Sus scrofa: one gene and its partner. Each later gene encodes a partner of the first gene's protein in a complex. Links are inferred from orthologs where the notes say so. Each region holds a gene or a part of one and is shown in the gene's direction. Other genes may lie near its edges.

Region 1 (5,912 bases):
AACAAGATAAGCCAGAAAAATGACCGGAAATGATGTGGAGGGACGTGGCAGGCTCCCAGGAGCTAAAGTAGAAAAGTGGATGTTGAACTTGGCCAGCCCCATTGCCTCCTGTTTGCCCCAGAAGCTGGGTCCCAGGTCAATCCAAGACCCCCTCTCCTTCCTTAAAGCAGTAGTGTTAGAGCCTGAGAACTTCCATATGCCACACCAGTGGCCCTAAATAAGATAAATAAATATTAAAAGACAAAAACAAAATCCCCCAAAATTGGTTGATGTCCTACAGGGCAATACAAACAAAGTTTTGAGGTTATTTTTCAACTGGCTATAAATGTTTTGCATTGCTCTGGGGCAATATCTAGCAAAATCAAACAAGTGTACAATCTGATGGGTGATTAAATAATCCTCGGGTGGGCTTGTTAAATAATGCCCCAGTATGATATTGGACAATCATGCTACACTCTTTGTCTCTATTCCAAATTTTGCATAATAATTTTAACAGTATTGTGTAGCCTTTTGTTTTGCTTTGATTTTGACCATGCCCAAAGCATGCAGAAGTTCCCAGGCCAGGGGTCAAACTTGCACCAAAGCAGCAACCAGAGCCACTGCAGTGACATTGGATACTTAACCTTCTGCACAGGGAAACTAATTCCCTGCAATGTTGCTGTTTTTTTTTTTTTGGCTTTTTAGGGCTGCACTCTCTGCATATGGAGGGTCCCAGGCTAGGGGTCTAATTGGAGCTACAGCTGCCAGCCTACGCCACAACCACACCAGATCCAAGCTGTGTCTGCGATCTACACCACAGCTCACAGCAAGGCCAGATCCTTAACCCACTGAGCAAGGCCAGAGATCAAACCCGCAACCTCATGGTTCCTAGTCAGATTCATTTCTGCTGCTCCACAACAGGAACTCGCCTGCAACTTTTTTTAAGTTGTTGTTGTCTTTTTGCCTTTTCTAGGGCTGCACCCGCGGCATATGGAGGTTCCCAGCCTAGGGGTCCAATCGGAGCTGTCACTGCCTGCCTACGCCAGAGCCACAGCAACGCAGGATCCGAGCCGCATCTGAAACCTACACCACAGCTCACGGCAACACCGGATCCTTAACCCACTGAGCAAGGGCAGGGATCGAACCTGCAACCTTATGGTTCCTAGTCGGATTTGTTAACCGCTGAGCCACGATGGGAACTGCAACTTTTTTTCAGTTTATAGATTTCTTGGAGTAGATCTAAATCTTTGTATTCTCTTCATTTTTCCTAAGATTATAGCTTCATAAGCTGAAATCTTCACGTGTATTTTTATATACCCTCTAAACATCCCATTCATTGAGTCAGCAAACTTTTTGTGTGAAAGAACAGATAATAAATGTTTTAGGTGTTGCCAACCATATGATTCTGTTGCAGCCACTCAACTGTGCTTTGTAGTGCAAAAGCAGACATAGGTAATATGTAAACAAATGAGCATGATGTGTTCCCATAAAGCTATTTATTTATAGGCACTGAAATATAAATTTCATATAACTTTTGCATATCATGAAATGTCATTCTTTTTCAACCATTTAAAAAGGGGAAAAAATTCTTAGCTTACAGGCAATATGAAAACAGGTGGAGGGCTGTGTTTGGCCTGCAGGATCCCTGCCAAAGAATAAATAAAGTTGTTTCTGTTCCACCCCTGGTTCCCCTCAGTCCATCATAAGTAATATTTCAAGGACCACACTGATGAAGCCTTTTTCTCCTTTTTCATCCATTCAAACTCGGCATGTCTCAATCTGTACTCTAAGTCGTTCCCTATCTTCAGCTCTTCACCTAGGTGAGCTGTAACTTTGTTCAAAGAAAACCTGAGAATTATCTTCACCATCTCCACCCAACCCCTCACTTAGCACATTCCATCAGTCACTTAAGGTTTGCCAAGTGTGTCTTCTAAGCACAGTATAATGGGAGTTCTCAAATTCAAGTGCACCAGAACTACTTCAGGACTTAAAAGAGAGAGAGAAGCTAGAGCTGAAGGGAGTCCGCTTCTCAAGGTGCTGCTACGGGTAATTCTGAAGCCATTCTGATGAACATCAGAGGACCAGGCCATGCAAAACGCTGCGCTAGAGGCACTGTGCCTGCATTTAATCCTCGTACCTCCCTTGCGAAATATGTACCCCAATATTAGGAATCCGGGGGAAACTGAAACTGCTGCTCCCGTAACAAGGTAGTGGCAGAATGCCAGGCATAAGCTCTCTGGCTCCACGGCCCGCGCTCTGTCCACCGAGTCTAGGGACGTATTGCGTGGGCTCTTGCCTGCGAGGGTGCGGGGTTGGAAGCCACAAGCCGCCCTCCTTCTGGGAGGACAGTTCCACAAAATCCTTACGCCTGAGAAGCTGGGGGAACCAGGGCTCTCAGGAACCCCTCGCTTGGGGAGGAAGAATGCGGGGTGGGAACTCTAGTCTCGAAGGACTCAGGGCTGCGGGGGGACGTTTCACCTGAAGGACTGCCTCGTTGCAGCAACTCTATGGCTCCCGGAAGTGCCTCCTCCCGGTCCCCTGCCCAGCCTCACGCCCGTGGGCTGCAGTTGGAGCCATGGCGGCGGCAGCCGCTGGGCCTGGGCCGGGGTCTGGACCTGGGGGCTCCCCGGAGGGGCCCGAGGCGGACGCTCCGGAGCGTCGGCGGAAGGCGCACGGGATGCTGAAACTTTACTACGGCCTTTCAGAGGGTGAGGCGGCGGGGCGCCCCGTGGGGCCGGACCCCCTGGACCCGACAGACCTCAATGGGGCGCACTTCGACCCGGAAGTGTATCTGGACAAGGTGTGTGTATGGGGGAGGGAGGGGGACAGGCCCTCGATATACTGCACCCCCAGATGAGGGGAGCAGAGGTTCATAAAAGCAGGACGACCCTGGGCCGGGCAGTAGGGGCAGAGCTGGAGGATAAGAGGGCGTGGGGAAACTCGTACTGGCCTGAGATGGTGCGAAGTCTGAGGTCTCCTGGACCGATGTTCGAACAGACCCGAGATACGGGGCGTGGCCCTGGCGCCGACAGGCGTAGAACTGGTCCGTGACAGCATCTGAGGATTTCAAACGCTGACACATTCCTAATAGAGTCCAACCTGGTAATTCCCGAGCTATGCTACTTGTAGGCTCCTTACCTGAGAGCCCTGACAGGGTTGAGATCAGAGTTTTCTTGCACCGAAAGCCTACCAGTTAGGGGCAAGGCTGGAGGACATGGGTGCCCCCTGTCCTGAACACTAACCACCCGATTTCTTCCAGCTGCGTAGAGAATGCCCACTGGCCCAGCTGATGGACAGTGAGACCGATATGGTGCGGCAGATCCGGGCTCTAGACAGCGACATGCAGACCCTGGTGTATGAGAACTACAACAAGTTCATCTCAGCCACAGGTGATTCTCCTACTGGGACACACTCCACACAGTCCCATATTCCCCAGTTCCTCCTTTGTTGGGGAAGCCAGATTCCAGTCCTGCCCTGACATTAATCCACTCTCACGCCTCTCTCTCAGAGCCTTTGTGGTTTGATGACGAGTCATCAAACAGTATTAACTGTTCTCAGAGGGTTGTTTTGGGGACCAAAGAAAAGAAAGGACAAATGAAATTTTTAAAAGAAACGAATTTATCTGAAGCACTTAGAATTTCCAACAGTAAGGACGGCTCAGTAATGATTAGTTTCTCTCATTAGTGGTAGCTTTGTTCGCTGATTCAGGTCTGTCTTGAACATGAGCTTATCACTCTTTCTCTCTCACTTTTTTTTCCCCTTTTCTTCCTTTTTCTCTCTATTTCATTCCTTCCTTGCCCTTTCCCTCTTTCCCCTTGCTTTCTCTTTTTTCAATGAAGCGAAGAGACAGAAAGTGTATGACAGTAACACACAAAGATCATATAAAGGGGTTTTGCCCCTTCTTCCCCCTTTATTCTCTACTCAAGACAGTGCTAGACAATGTTCAGCTGTCATCCACACTAGCTTCTGTCCTGTGTTGAAGAAACGCACTCTTCAGTTCTCTGTAATAATTTTGGACCCGCATGTCCTTGGTCCTATGGATCTGCCTGCAGTTTATAGGAATGTTCCGGGAACCTCTGGCACTCGTTCTGACAATTCTTATTCTGCTACTGTCACAGCAGTGGGTGTAGTAACACATAATCGCTGTTCTTTGATCTGATTTGAAGCAGGTTCAATGAGCAGGTGCCCCTCTATATGTTAATACCAGCATCAAACAGCAAGAAATCATGATTTCTATGCTGAGAAATTTCTCCCAGGAATTCTGAATAAGTGAACGCACAAATAAAAGTAGTAATAAGTGCTATGAGCAAATGTAGAGCAAGAGGAAAAGATAATGTGTTGGGGGGGAGGTCTGTCTTTAGATAGGGTAAGTATGAGAAGGCCCCTCTGAGGTGGTGACGTTTGAGCAAGGCTTTGATGAGGAGGAGCCAGCCATGAGGAGAAGGATTTGGGGGAGGAAACAGCAAGAGCAAAAGTTCTCAAGAGAGCATGTCTGGTGTATCGAGAGTGCAGCAGGGAGTTGAGGGAGGAGGCGGGTGGTGGTGACTGGGGTGGAGGGGCCGCTTCTGGAGGGACTTGGAGGTGGGATGAGGATCCTGCTCTTTACTCTGAGTGAGATCATCACTGAGGGAGGATGAAACGCCTCGTGAACTTCCAAGCCTTTTTATGATCATCATCTTGGGAGCCTTCTGGTACCTTAGCTTCTGTCTTTTGCCTTAGCTCTGCTCTTTTTTTTCCAGGGAGGTCTTTTTTTTTTTTTTAGGGCTGCACCCATGGCATATGGAGGTTCCCAGGCTAGGGGTTGAATGGGAGCTGTAGCCGCTGACCTACACCATAGCCACAGCAACGCCAGATCCGAGGCGCATCTGAGGCCTACACCACAGCTCACAGCAACACCAGATCCTTAACCCACTGAGTGAAGCCAAGGATCAAACCTGTGTCCTCATGGATACTAATCAGATTCATTTCCGCTGAGTCACTTTGAGAACTCCCCTTTGCTCCGCTCTTACTCAGTTTTTAACTGCCTTGCCCTGTCCGTGCTAGGTGCCTTAATTCATTGTGAACCGACAACACAATCATCATTTATCCAAAAAAAAAAAAAAAAAAAATGCAAGCAACTCCAACCAGTAGCCCCAAAGAGTAGTATAGATGTTTCATCTTATGTGACTTTATTTTTTAGTAACCTTCCTCTCTGTGGATTCTGAGAGAGGTGAATGGTCTTGTCCCATAGCCTGTGTTGCTAACATAAAATGTTCATTTTGTGATTCATGGTCTATCTCTTCATGTAACTTTAAAAAAAACTGAACACCTTTTATTCGCCCCAGAGGCATTAGCTTTGAGAGTTCTTCTTGTGCATTTTTTTCCTTTGATTTTCTCTGCTATTTTTTTCATTGGAACTTTTGTATCTATTCCTCTTTATTTTCCTTGTCATTGTCATTGATGTTTTTCTCCTCACTTTGTCCTTCCTGCTGTTTCCCCAAGTTGGGTTGCTGCCCCAATCCCGCTCAGAGAACATTCCCCCAGTCCAGGAGCTCACACAGGCCAAGTGTGGGTGTGCAAAGGCTCACAAGTGAATGCTCTTAGCTATTGCCAGATTCTTTGCCACACACAAAAATGACCTGGTTTTGCACAGCCATCAGCAAATAGGAAAGTAACTCTTTCCATATTCCCTGGCCGATACTAAGTTACCAAAATTTTCAATCTTTGGCAGTCTGAGAGGTAAAAAGTAGTATCTGTATAGTTTGTTTCTTTCTTTTTTTTTTTTTTTTCTGGTCTTTTTTTTGTCTCTTTAGGGCCATACCCATGGCATACATAGGTTCCCAAGCCAGGGATCCAATTGGAGCTGCAGCCACCGGCCTACACCACAGACACAGCAACGCCAGATCCAAGCCTTGTCTGTGACCTACACCAAAGCTCATGGCAATGCCAGATCC
Region 2 (5,914 bases), on another chromosome or scaffold:
TCCCCCCCAAACACAAATAAACTGGTAGCTTTTTTCTGCGTTTCTATGGCGACCCATGCTCTTTTCTCATTTTGTATAATGGCCTGTCTCTCCCACCAGTCTGAGAATTCCTTGATGGCAAGGACCAAACGTGTTCATCTCTGTGTCCTCTGTACCTAGCGCACAGTAAGAGAACAACACATGCCAGGCACTGTTCTGAGCGTTTTTCAGACATTAATTCATTCAGTCCTCACGCCACTTTATGAGGGAGGTGTTTTGTGGTGTCCATTTCATAGTTGAGGACAGAGACTAAGCAGTTTGCCCAAGGTGCAATAATCAGGAAGTAGCAGAACTGGGATTCAAACCCAAGTAATCTGGTTGCAACTCTGGATCTTAATCACCATTCTCATCTCAATTTCCATGTGTTTGTTGAATGAATGAAAGATGATCCCTTTTCAATTCCTCACCTCAATATGTTCAGAACTGAAACAGTTCTCTTCCAGGAGGGTTCCCCCCCACATCTGACCTCCATCGCTCCTCCAGGGTCTTGGAGAAGCCTGGAGTCTTTGACTTTTACCTCTTTCCTCCCTGATCCCATTCAATCTCTCATCAAGTCTAGTTGTTTTGTTTTGTTTTTCCTTGGAAACATCTATCAGATTCTCTCCTTCCTCTCCATTTACAATCCCTGCTGTCCTGGTCTAGTCCTCATCCCTTCAGGTGAGATGACCACAGCAGCTTCCAGACTGGTTTCCCTAACTTCACTTCCTCACTCTGTGGGAGACTTGGGGTTTCCAGGCTTTTTTTTTTTTTTTTTTCCCCTTTTAGAGCTGCACCTGCAGCACGTGTAATTTCCAGGCTAGTGGTCGAATAGGAGCTGCAGCTGCTGGCTTATGCTGCACTTCAAGGCAACTCTGGATCCTTAATCCACTGAGCGTGGCTAGGGATGGAACCCACATCCTCATGGATACTAGTTGGGTTCTTAACCCCACTGAGTCACAACAGGAACTCCATCTAGCCATTTTTATTTAAACTTCACAACAATCTATGAGCTAAATATTCATATTTTATAGATGAGAGACTGAATAACAGAACCCAGGTTCAAACAGGGTTTGTCTGGCTCTGAGGACTCTTCTATCTTCAAAAAGACTGCTAACTTTAAGCCAGTCACTTAAATTCCAAGTCTCAGATTTCTTATCTGTATAATGGGGATTACAACATTGTGAGAGCACCTGAGATAAACTAAGCTCAGTGCCTGCCACACAGTATGTGCTCAATGATAATCAGCAATTAAAGTTCGCAAAACCCATAGACTATCTAGCGTATGAGTTTGATAAACTGTTCTGACCAAAAGGCTTCCTGGAAGAGCTCTTGAACCACTTAGCTGGTAAGAAGTTGCCAGACCTGGCCCCTTCTTTGTCCTTCAAAAATGCTCTCTTCCAGGAAGCACCATATGCTGTATGAAAAAATTATCTTACTGATCACTTCAAGAACACAGAAAAGACAAAAAACGCAACACACACAAAAACACATCCTAGCCTGGTGGAAAGTGCACAGAATCTGGGGCTCTGCCCTGTCCAGGTTGTGTGAGCACAAGAAATCTTGAAACCTATATGAATTTTTCTAATCTGCAAAATGGGAATAATAATACCTTCCCCTCCAAGGATACTGAGATAACTCACAGCCTTCAGCGTCTTGCTGGGCACTATAAGACCCACAGAAAGGAGTTGTGCAACATTATCAGAGTCAGATAAGGTAGACGAGCTTTATTCTAAGTCGAGGACGAGATGGATTTCTAAATCTATATGTTATCAAAATAAGTATCAAAAGGAGAGGAAAGGTGAAAAGATTGTGCAAAGCTGATACTATCTCCGTATCTAGGAAACCTGACTACCTTTCTTGCCAGGGAACAAGCAGCTCCTCCCCCTGAATCTTGAGAGGTGAGTGTTGAGAAGACCCGCCCTCTCCGCCGCCGCCAGAGCCCCGCCTCCAGGGTCGAGTAACGCAAGGCCCAGGCCCTGCTGATGGGGGGTGGGGGGGGCTCTGGTCACGTGAGCGCGAGTGCGGAAGTGGTGCGGCTGACGGCGTTCGTGATTGGTCGAGGCTGAGGGACCTGGGGGCGGGGCCAAGCGGCCGGACGCGCCGGGAGGAGCCGAGGAGGGGGCCGCGCCGGGGCCGGCGCCAGAGTCACGGCTTCGGTCTGAGGTGCAGACAGAGTACTGGACCCGCGGCGGGCCGGTGCACCCCTGCCTGCGCGCGCAGCCGCTACAGGTCCCGCAGGCCGAGACGCGGGCTGCTGCGCGAGGCGGGTGGGGTGGGCAGAGGGAGATTGGGAGGGCGCGGGCGCCCTGTGCGCAGAGCAGGCGTGAGGCGGCCGGGGGCCGGGACGCCATGTCCATGGAGGACCCCTTCTTTGTGGTGAAAGGGTGAGTGTCGTAGGGGGCTCCACTGGAGGAGGCGGCGGCAGTGCTGCCTGCCCTCACCTCCCCGCTTTTCTCGCTCTAGGGGGAGGGGAGACAAGTAGAGTCTGGCGTGGGGACCGCTTAGCCTTGAGGGCTATGATAAAGCGTCCAGAGACATCCCCTCTTCGTGCTACCTGGACTTTGAAACCGTGCCCCCAGTCAAGCCCCTGGGGAGGGGGGGGGTCTCCTTTGGCTTGTGCGCCGTTCTACAACTTATGGAGGGGTGTCGAGGGGTTCAGCAGCTCCTCAGGTGGGGAGGGAGACAGGCGTCCCAGACCAAAGTGGGGCTGTAGTGGAGCACCGGGCCCTGCTTTGAAGGGGGAAAAACAGCATCTGGGCAGGAAAAGGGAAATGGGCCTCCTGAGCTTTGTAGTTGGCGTGGACGGGGGTGAGCTCCCATTGTCCATTGAGTTCGGAGCGCTGGCCCGCTGACTGGCGAGACCACAACAAGCCCAGAGGCGTCTGAGCACGTTTGCAGGCTGGGAGGCGGGGGCGCGAGGCTCCGGAAGACAACTCTATTCAGTGGGGGAGTTTTTACCGAGTAATGGGAGGGGAGGAAAGCTGCTGTTCAAACTCAGTGGTGATGTTGGAAGGAAAACAAAATGAAATCAGCCAAACCAAACTTTCCTTAGCTTTCTGTTAGCACAGGGATTTTCCCACAGTGCTAAAGGAAATGAGTGCTTTCTTTTTAACTCCCTGATTTCATCCAGGCTATTTGACAGGTTTCCCCCATTTCTTCTTTTTTCTGCCTTTGAGACTAGAGCTGTCCTAACTTATTTTTCCCTAAGAAGTGTCGTGACTCCATCTTTGATTGCTCAATTGTTTGTTTGGAGATAGAAGCTTTAACTGCACTCTGTTATATAGGCTTTGTAGCCATTAAACAAATGCAGAAAAGATTGATTCTGTTGTTATAACTTGTCAGCTTTTGTTTTAAATGTCAAACAAAACAATCTGAGAACTGCAACGTTCTGGAAAAATCAGTGCCAATGACCTTAAAGTGCCTCTGCTTTCAACTAGTTGCTACTAGCTTCCTATTTCTGTAGGGGTAAAAGTTGACCAGTTGCTTGAGTGTTATTTTTTTTTTTTTACGGTTCATTTTACAAAATTTAAATGGTACTTTAAGTTAAATACTTTATTACCCATGATACAGTTAAATATATTTATGTATTTCTAACATTGCCTTTAAAAGTTTTTTTTTAACCTGACTTTAATATAAATGGAAAAACGCTGAGTTTAGATTATTGGTAATATGTGGCTCTCTACCTGGAAAATGTGTGGTTTATTAGGATTGATTTTTAGGGGATAATTTTTAAATGTGAAAACTGTTTTTTCCTTGAGTGAACGTTCTTAATGCTTAGGGTTGCAAAGGTTATCTCTGGCTGTGGAGACTGTAGATAATCAGAATTTTAAAATTTTTAATGGGATTTGTGAAAATGCAAAATTGTTTTGCCATCTTGACTTTTTTTTTCTTGATGGTAGCCAGTGCAGTTCACCAGTGCTTGCTCACTGATTAGATATCACTGCTTTATTGGAACATTGGCCTTGAGTCTTGCTTGACTTTGACATCATTTTAGCTCATGTTCTTAAGATGTCAAAACCTTCTGCTTTGTGGGAGTTCCCGTTGTGGCGCAGTGCAAATGGATCCAGCTAGTATCCATGAGGACATGGGTTCCATCCCTGGCCTCACTCAGTGGGTTAAGGATCTGGCATTGCTATGAGCTGTGGTGTAGGTCACAGATGAGGCTTGGATCTGGCTTTGTTGTGGCTGTGGTATAGGCCGGCACCTGTAGCTACAATTCAGACCCCTGGCCTGGAGGGAACTGCCATATGCCACAGGTGCAGCCCTTAAAAGAAAAAGAAAAAAAACCCTTCTGCTGTGGAAAAGTAAAATTAGCTACATGAGTGCCTCCACAATGTGTGAGGGAATGTATGGAGCCATGTATCTCTGCTTATTGAAAGTTTTGAAAATGCACCCCACGATGTGGAAAAATTAAAGATGCTTGAATTGTGGCCCTTAGCCTAGGAGCTGGTAGTCTAATCTGAAAAAAACTTACCCCCAAATTAAGTAGAAATGACAGGTGGTAAGTGATCAAATGCTGTAGCCTAGGAGCTGGTAGTCTAATCTGAAAAACAACTTACCCCCAAATTAAGTAGAAATGACAGGTGGTAAGTGATCAAATGCTGAAGTGAATGCTACAGAAGATTAGGTGCCCCAGTAGTCCGGAGAAAGGCATCTCATTAGGAATGGCTGTGGTTGGAAAAGCTTTGGAGGTAGTAGTATGTCTTAGGTTTTGAAGATGGGTAGCTCTTAGATAATTCAGCCTGTGTCTCTTCTGGACTATTGGCAAGAAGAGTATCCATTTGGTCCTCTTGCTCCCAATCCCTTTCCTCTTTCATCTATCTTAGTTCTGCTGGCTGGGTGCTCTCCAGTATGCCGGTGTGAGCCACACATGCCGTGTTACATTGCCTAGTAGATGCAGTAAAAAGTAAAAGACAAGTGAAATTAATTTTAATGTCATCTTTAACCAGTATACTCAAAATATTTCAACATGTGATGAATATAAAGACTGTTAATGAAAGATTTTTCCCTTTTTGTACTACGTCTTAAAAATCCGGCGAGTATTTTGTACTTAGAGCACATCTCAATTTGGACACTAAATTTTCATCAGAAACACTTGATCTTTATTTGGAGTTCATTAAACACACAGTTCAAAGTGCGGATTGATGTACCCAGATTGTTCCACGTATACTTTCAGAATTTTTGGTAGCTGAAGTGTATATCAGTTTTTAAAGTTAAATTAAAATGTAAAATTTAGGAGTTCCCATCGTGGCTCAGTGGTTAATGAATCCGACTAGGAACCATGAGGTTGCGGGTTCGATCCCTGCCCTTGCTCGGTGGGTTAAGGATCCGGTGTTGCCGTGAGCTGTGGTGTAGGTTGCAGACGCGGCTTGGATCCTGCGTGGCTGTGGCGTAGGCCGGAGGCTATAGCTCCGATTCGACCCCTCGCCTGGGAACCTCCATATGCCACAGGAGCGGCCCTAGAAAAGGCAAAAAGACCAAAAAAAAAGAAAGAAAATTTAAAATTTAGTTCCTCGGCCACACTAGCCTGCTTCAGCAGCCTCATGTGGCTTCCATATTGGGGGCAGCACAGGTGTAGCTTTTCTAGAACCCATGCAGGAGTTCTCTCCTTAACATCATTTAGTGGCAGTCTGTTGCCTATAGAGGTAAATCTGAACACTTCGGGATGCAGCCTTTCTCCACCCTTGCTCACTCTGCCTGCCTTTAGCATGGAGCTCTGGCACTGCCAGACTCAGTCTAGTGACTATGACCACAGTACTGGGTGTTCTTACTTTGCCTAATTCACCCACTCAGCTTTTTGGATTCACTGTGAGCATCTCACTATCTCCAGGAAGTGCTTCCCTTGGCACCTACAACACATTATTGCACCTCTTCCTCTGGCTGTCTTTCATTATAA

The links. Proteins that work in one complex are often made in the same cells at the same time.
Region 2: the proteins of VPS51 (region 1) and STX6 are in contact, whole or in part, in a crystal structure (PDB 4J2C), measured with the Homo sapiens proteins. The link is inferred for Sus scrofa from reciprocal best matches to the Homo sapiens genes VPS51 and STX6. Residues at the interface, in NP_037397.2 of Homo sapiens: Ala33, His34, Met36, Leu37, Leu39, Tyr40, Tyr41, Gly42, Leu43; in NP_005810.1 of Homo sapiens: Met3, Glu4, Asp5, Pro6, Phe7, Val9, Val10, Glu13, Trp59, Asp60, Asp63, Leu64, Glu66, Thr67, Ile70, Val71, Phe78, Arg88.

The regions. Positions count from the first base shown.
Region 1 is NC_010444.4:7,091,434-7,097,345, reverse strand, and holds the start of VPS51 (vacuolar protein sorting-associated protein 51 homolog), read left to right. Parts: upstream 1-2,447; 5' UTR 2,448-2,554; coding exon 2,555-2,779; intron 2,780-2,798; exon of another isoform or gene 2,799-3,081; intron 3,082-3,238; coding exon 3,239-3,368; intron 3,369-5,912. UniProt on the Homo sapiens protein: Acts as a component of the GARP complex that is involved in retrograde transport from early and late endosomes to the trans-Golgi network (TGN).
Region 2 is NC_010451.4:122,576,820-122,582,733, reverse strand, and holds the start of STX6 (syntaxin-6), read left to right. Parts: upstream 1-2,160; 5' UTR 2,161-2,367; coding exon 2,368-2,402; intron 2,403-5,914. UniProt on the Homo sapiens protein: SNARE promoting movement of transport vesicles to target membranes. Targets endosomes to the trans-Golgi network, and may therefore function in retrograde trafficking.